Styela clava: one gene and its partner. The protein of the gene in region 1 purifies or fractionates together with the protein of each later gene. This does not show direct contact. Links are inferred from orthologs where the notes say so. Each region holds a gene or a part of one and is shown in the gene's direction. Other genes may lie near its edges.

What was found.
Region 2: the proteins of replication protein A 14 kDa subunit-like (region 1) and E3 ubiquitin-protein ligase rfwd3.L-like purify together in Homo sapiens (affinity purification with mass spectrometry; 5 studies listed by BioGRID and IntAct, with this or other methods). This does not show direct contact. The link is inferred for Styela clava from reciprocal best matches to the Homo sapiens genes RPA3 and RFWD3.

Annotation. Positions count from the first base shown.
Region 1 is NC_135261.1:16,322,646-16,326,405, forward strand, and holds the start of replication protein A 14 kDa subunit-like, read left to right. Parts: upstream 1-1,014; 5' UTR 1,015-1,168; coding exon 1,169-1,273; intron 1,274-2,464; coding exon 2,465-2,539; intron 2,540-3,175; coding exon 3,176-3,281; intron 3,282-3,645; coding exon 3,646-3,719; 3' UTR 3,720-3,760. UniProt on the Homo sapiens protein: As part of the heterotrimeric replication protein A complex (RPA/RP-A), binds and stabilizes single-stranded DNA intermediates that form during DNA replication or upon DNA stress.
Region 2 is NC_135262.1:4,159,284-4,163,043, reverse strand, and holds the start of E3 ubiquitin-protein ligase rfwd3.L-like, read left to right. Parts: upstream 1-1,046; 5' UTR 1,047-1,088; coding exon 1,089-1,185; intron 1,186-1,892; coding exon 1,893-2,030; intron 2,031-2,912; coding exon 2,913-3,023; intron 3,024-3,654; coding exon 3,655-3,760. UniProt on the Homo sapiens protein: E3 ubiquitin-protein ligase required for the repair of DNA interstrand cross-links (ICL) in response to DNA damage. Plays a key role in RPA-mediated DNA damage signaling and repair.

The DNA of each region.
Region 1 (3,760 bases):
GCGTCACGGAAATGAATTTTGACGCCAGACACAACGGAGCCAATATGACAATTTCCGTTAAGATAAAGACGGCGTTCCAATGTAATATTTTTGTATTTTGTTCGGTCATGTATGAATATATGCCAAAATTACATTAATAAAAATACATGTCACACTTAATCGATGACGTTAAAATCGGACATACAAAACTATGATAATTCCAACGTCCATATGGCACAGTGCACTGACTTAACCATTATTTTATGATTAGTAGTCGAAATGACAGTTATTGAATACTGCCTGGCTGAATTTTATTCACTCGAAATTAAAAATAAATTTATCTCCAACAAATAAACGGGACCTACATGTTTACAAGATTAAGTTGAATTTTAAATTAAACTTTACAATCGAATTTACCGTGTGTTTGATATAAATTATCATTTATAAAGATAACCGCGCACGATAAAAAAAAACTATCCGTCGAGAATATTAATACTTCAAAGACTTCGATAGAAGCCCGTTAAAATACTTCATTGCGGATTGAAACGATTTGCATCAGATATATTTACGTATGCATTTCCTGATTAAAATGACTAACGTGTTATTATACTCATCTGAAGTATCGAAAATAACGAACGAAAGATGTAAACATAGGACGACGGAAGTTTCAAATAATGCATTTTCGTCGTGACATCAATGTTACGTTACGACGACGATCGAGCGTCTTATCTTCACGCAACGACGTGATTACGCCATCCGCATCGGAAGCCTCTTTCTCTCTGTGCGTCGCGGTTACGCAGTGAAGAAAATGACTGTCCGAAGTTAGGGCAGTGAAGGATAACGGTCAGATGGCAAGAAATATCGATTATTTCAATAGTAAAAATAGTCCAATTGAACCGAAATTTGCAAGGAATGTAAATTACCGCACGAATGTTTTACCGAGTAATTTTGGCACCTTTTGGACAATAAATGGCCAAGTTATTGACGAAAATATAGTAATTTTGTCCGAAGTTAGGCGCTTTTACGGTACCGGTACTACTGTACTAGCTCTAATTTTAACTTCGATACAACTAGAAGGGCTGTTCACAAATTCATAGGATTTACCGGTACATACAGAGGCTACCATATTTAGTTTTTACCAGTGCTGCAGTGAGTGAGACAAGAATAAATTATCTGTCCACGATCAGATATGGAAGAAGCATTTGCCGGACCTAGGCCACGTCTGAATGCATCATTGCTACCAAAATACACAGAAAAATATGTCACTGTAGTTGGGACTGTCGATGCTGGAAAGGTAACTACAGTCTGACAGTACCTTTGTGTATTTCTGTATATCAATACCGGTACCGGTACTGATGATATAATTAATGTAATTCAGTATTTTTTTTTCAAATAGGCCTACTGAAATACCAAGATATGTTTTGAGTTGTATAATTTAAGAATTTCACACTGGATGGATGTAGAAATGTTGACTGAATCCTCTAGAACAGTGTTTTTCAACCTTTTTCGAGCCAAGGCACACTTTTTTCGGTGAGAAAATCCCGCGGCACACCACCAGCTGAAAATATGGCGAAAATACCTACCCGTAATATTCACAATATAAGTGTTATATTGTAAATATAAGATTTTTAACATTGAAGAAAGATGTTGAATTGGACATCTTGAATAGTAATCAAATAAAAACAAAGACAAAAAAAATCGCCACCAGATGCTGCCACGGTCTGATATAGAACAGTACCACACGATTACTCTGCCGGACGCTACACCGCACAGACACACAACTTGGAGAAATTCCCACGGCACCCCTGACAATATTTAACGGCACACCGGTGTGCCGCGGCACCCCGGTTGAAAGACACTGCTCTAGAATTACCGTAAAGAAATTCTGGATTTTCATTTATTTCTCTAATTCATGAAATACAGAAGTAGGCTTAAATCTGTAAAGTGATGCACTCAACAAATACTGTAAAAACTAAAATCAGACAATATCAATACCACAGCATGTAAACACATTTCCACAATTTTAACCTAATTTTATAGCTGCATGTATTCACTGGTTTCTGGGTTTTGATTAGGGTGTTGTTACTCTGACATAGCCTACTAGTAATTTTCATTGGTTCCTAACACTGTAACAGTCTGATCTAGTATATTACCGTGCTGAAATAGCAGACCTCCAGATAGCATGGTTTGAAGTCCTAAACTTCTGCTCCGCAATTTTTGAATTATTCTTTGCCAATGGCATAGCAAGATTATCAAAACCCAGAAACCTTTGTTTTTTTGTGTAATTCCTTATTCTGCTATTGGGTATCATCCGTTACGAACAACCACTATTATAAAATTTTCTGATTTCTGGATATAATACAATTTAGCAATTAACTCTTAATTATTGGGCTAAATAGTTTGTATTATAAATACTGTCGAGTTCAATGGTCGAAACGATGTAAAATATGAATACATTTACTCTTATGTGGTTTATTTATTTCAGATATCCCCAGATGGAAATTCATTTGTATTGAAAGATGGTGCAGGAGAAAATATTCAAGTTGTCTTAGATTCACCGGTAAGAAGTATTGACCAATCATATCACTGGTTTTCCTTTTCACACACTTTGAAATCGAGAACTACTTTATGCACCCCCATCTAGAAGTCAGGGAAATAATATTGTGATCATATGAAAATAGCAAAACAATAATATTCCCCTTTTTCAATATTTGTGACACTAAAATGCTGTATCACTAAAATTAGATTTAGATATATTTGCAAACATAATGTTTTGATTAAGGTAAAGCATAAGTATTTATAGTGTATCAGTTAAAGTGTTTAGGCTCAGTGACTTCTTTTGAAGTTACTCCAACAATGATATCCGTTTATAAGCTGTTTTTTTTAAGCAAACTCAACAATTAAAAATTTTGGCACATCTGGTTAATATTATGTATGTTACTTGTTTCTTGAGATATGTCCCAAAGATAAAACTAATCGAGCATTTTACACAGAGTTCTTTACTAACTAATTGTAGATTTAATTAACGCTAATTGTCGAAAATCAACGATTAGTTTCATCTATTTTATTTACAATTACTTGAAATTCAGTTTCACAAATGTATCTATTCTATGTTTTTAAAATTGCATTTTCAATTCCAAAATTTTGGCAAAACTAACTGACAAGTCATTATCGATATTCTCTTACTATTATACAGCTGGCTGATATTATTGAAGGTGTCGTTGAAGTCACTGGAAAAGTTGACAGCAAGTGTAACGTACATGGGGTGATGTATCGCGTGTTTGACTCTGAAGGAAAATTTAGTAAGTTGATATTCAGAGAGTACCAACATGTTCTAATGTTGTTTCGGAGCCTAAAATTTGAAATAATTATTTTTGCCAAAATAAAATCTTGACGAGCATAAACATATAAAAATAGTATGCGATTTGTCCAAAACCAATTTGTCCAATTTATTACATTGTTGTAATTGTTCCAGATTGTTACCCACACAAGAACTTGGCCCCAAGAAAATCTTGATATCCAGATTGGGGTGCTATGTGAAAATATTTTTTGAAACGTTTCGAACACTAATTTAAAAAATGGGTGGGCGAACTTCTGAATCAAAAATATCATTTTCTGTTTTTTTATAGCATAATCCTATAGCTTCAATCAACTGTTTTCTTACAGACATGGAACTCTACAACACTTGTGTGAAACTAATTCATGATTTCCCACAGTACTATGGGCAGAAAGCATCATGAAAGCCTATGTTTATTAACATTTCGTCAGTGTCAAAGGACGT
Region 2 (3,760 bases), on another chromosome or scaffold:
TTCCTGATTACATTCTCATTACTTGTAGATCTAGCATGAAATATCTTGAAAATACAAGATTCTTTTAATTCAAAAATCAATTCATTTCATTCTAAAAGTGTAATATATTTAATTTGGCCATTTATTTATTATGGATTGATTGTTTCGTATTTATTCTTGAATGATTTAACTTTGCTTACCTGGTTATTTAATGGGCGTTGAGTAATTTGTTATTCTGATATCTATGTTGGATATTAGAAATTGAAATCGTCTCATGTTTCGTTGCAAATTTTTGATTCAACTATAATGTAGTAGCCCTATTCTATTAGTAATGAGTATTTTAGTCATAAAACTGGCTTTAATAATTTTTTTTCATCTAAATTCTAATATTGTTCAAATTATAACTTCCTTCTACACTGGGAGGATTCTTAATTCATGACGAGAGACATTTTCTGGGTAAAAAGTGACAGATTGATTTAAGAAGCTGACACTCTCAATGATAGAAGTCCGAAAAGACTTTCCATTAATTCCAACCTTAAAAATTCACTCAATCTCAATGTTTTAATCTTCTCAATTGAACAAATTTGGTTGGCGGAAATCAGTATGTCCTCACATAGAAGCTGACCCCCTAAAAATGGCCCCAAAACAGTGAATTTATATAAATTCTCATATAGACTGACCCTACAAATCGCAACACGCCGTACACACCTATCGCAGCAAATGGTTGCATGAGAGAATTGATGAAAAACATAATGCTCCCATAAGCAGAATTTTTAGTGCCCATATAATTTGGCCCCTTAGTTTGGCACTTTTTTCTTATAGTTTTAAATTCAACTTATATATGAAGATATATGGTATGTTGAATTAGTTCTTGAATCTCAGCCGCCTTTTTTCCCAGTCTCTTTCAGTGCGTGATAAAGCCTGTCTTTCATTCATCCATGTTCGTTGCATACATATCTATGAGAAAGGATTATCATGTTTTGTGTTTTCTTTTCTTGTGTATAAATAGTTTTTCTTCTAGTGCCAATGGTAACCACTCTGCTTTTTTTTTGTCAAGGCAGTAAAAATGAAAATAATATAGTTTCAAAAAACGATAAATATTTTGAAGTATGTCAGACTATGATACTTCTGATGATTGGATAGACTGGAATCCCAATGGAATTCCATCGACCGATGATGAAACAGATAATGAAGATATTCAATCAGGTGAATATTTTTGATCAGGGTTTTTCAAACCGGGCCCTTTCGGGGGCTACGTAGCGTTTCTTGGTATGAAAAAGTGTGTAGTAACCAACGAAATTTGGAAGTTTTGAATGTTTTCGATTGTGATTTTTTTTTTCAAACTGGGCCTTTGAGGGCAGGGTTTATCATCATATTGGTAAAAGCTGAAAATGCTGACTCGCATATGTGTGTCGTTGTAGAAGCTATTAAAATTTTAATTCCCTTTTTTGTTAGCAATGGCTATTCGTCCTCAATGATTAACCAATATGATGCAATGGCTTTTTGATTGAAATCAATCATTGATCAGACTCTTTTCATATCGTTGCGGACCCTTGTGCTGTCATCACCTACCCCCAGAGGTCCGCGGACCCAAGTTTGGGGAACCCTGCTCTAGGGGGCTACGTAGCAGTTCTTGGTGTGAAAATTGTATAGTTACCAACAATATTTAAAAGTTTTGAACCATTGCTGACTGTTGAAAATAAAGTCTGATATTTTAATCAGTTTTGAGAATTATTTTTTTTTTCTATACTCAGAGGAGTTTTTTGCCGAAATTCATGATATGAGCTATAATAACATATTAACATAAGGCATGGTTTATTGTTTTATCCAGATTTGTCTCATGTAATTTTTTCGTTTTGGTTTCATTATTTAAAAATTCTTATTTCAACTATTTTTTTTATTTTCACTTCCAGAAACCAGTGACACAGATTCTAATGTAATGTTGCTAAACCACGAAAGGCACTTACAACGCAGAAATGCCCTCCCAAATATTCAAGACTCAAGTGAGATTGATACTTTGGATCAAAATGAAGAAAATGTCATTTCATCAGGTAGTTGAATTGTCCGAATTTTATGTGTATTAGAATTTTCCAATAATTTATATATATTGTTAGTTGGGTTGCGCGAGACTAACTTCCTATCCTTCCTCTGTGCCTTTATGGTAGTGGATCATATGCGATAATGCAATGATGCTGTAGCAGGAATAAATAGGAGTATACAATGCAATTCAAAAGTCCTGCTGCACACTAACACAAATATAATTCTGTAACGTTTCTTCTGACCAAAACCATGTTAGTGTGCAGCAGGAATTTTGAATTGCATGCAATTATACAATATAGTCGGGCTGAAATGAAAATTTCATCAAATGAGGGGCCTAGCAGATGTTTCATTATACTATTATACTAAGTCCTAGAAAAACTGTCACTTTATTAAATCATCCGTCATGAGTTCACAAGTTTGAGCCTCACACGGATGATTTTTACTAATGGATTGCTGGAATTCTTACTTTCCAGTGATTTCCAAATGACGGCCCATTGCGGCTTGCGCGACGATTCAATATGACCTGCCGAACGTAGGTCAATTAGTTTACCAATTTATATATTTTTTTTTTTGCGTTCTAGATACCGCCATTCGTTATGTCATTATCATAGTTTAAAAATTTGTATATTTGTCACAATTCAATTATACCAGTATCTTGATTATACATACCGTATCGGCCCCTTGCAGGGGATCCACATTCCTGGCCCGTGAATATCCTTCAGATGCTAATTTTGGCCCCCGGATAATCAACTTTGGGAAAAAATGTATTAAAACATCTCTGTATTACTTTGACGAATAAATATAAAAATTTGAGACAGTTACAGATGGGAAACCTTACCCGATTATCATAAAACCCACTTTCAGTAAACTCACGCATTTCCGCTTGCTTATAGGTGAAGAAACTGATCACGAAGAAGAAGAAGAAAATAATGGTGAAGAAGATTTATTATCAATTGCAAGTAATGGGTATAGATCAGCAGACAGTCAGCTAATTGGACAGACAGGTATTCTTCAAGTTACAATAGCTGGAGTGTGTTCTCCGAGTTTAGAATACCAGTGTACTAATTGCAACACAAAAAATTCATTTTTTTACTGCTAGGGGGGTAGTATTGTTGTTGTCAGATGTCAGATGAAAATGCGCTCACATAGGCAAAAATCCATATTTTTTTTTGCGTTTGTCGCTGCGGTAAATCTTTCACCGTTTTTATTACTGTAAGGCTATCTAGGCAAAAGCCGTATTCTCTACTCTTGCTGACTGATGTACGGTACATTTGAACGGTCAGTTTGGCTGATGCTAAAAACCTATGCAAGAACTCGTGTTATGCAATTCAATGTGTAGATGGAAAAACTACTGTAATTTCTTTGTGGGGCCCAGCTAAATGTCTGAAGTTGATTAAATGGCCCACCGAGCTAAAAAATATGCTCGAGGAATTTGTTGAGATTGCGATTAAATTTAGTTTTGAGACGAAATTTTGTTTTCTACTTTTGCTTTTATAACACTGCAAATATTATTCATAAAATGTAAATTTTTACGGCCACACTTACATGGCCCGCCAGTCTTTTGGTCTCTGGTCCAAACACCTTGCCCAATCCTGATCTAGCTGAAACTTTACCAAAGCATTTTGATCATTTCAGCCCTACCAGAAACAACAACAACCTCAAGACCTCTGACCCCCGTGCCATCCACATCAACAAAACGTAAGCAATCATCACCTCGACCTAATCCGAGCCCAAAGAAAAC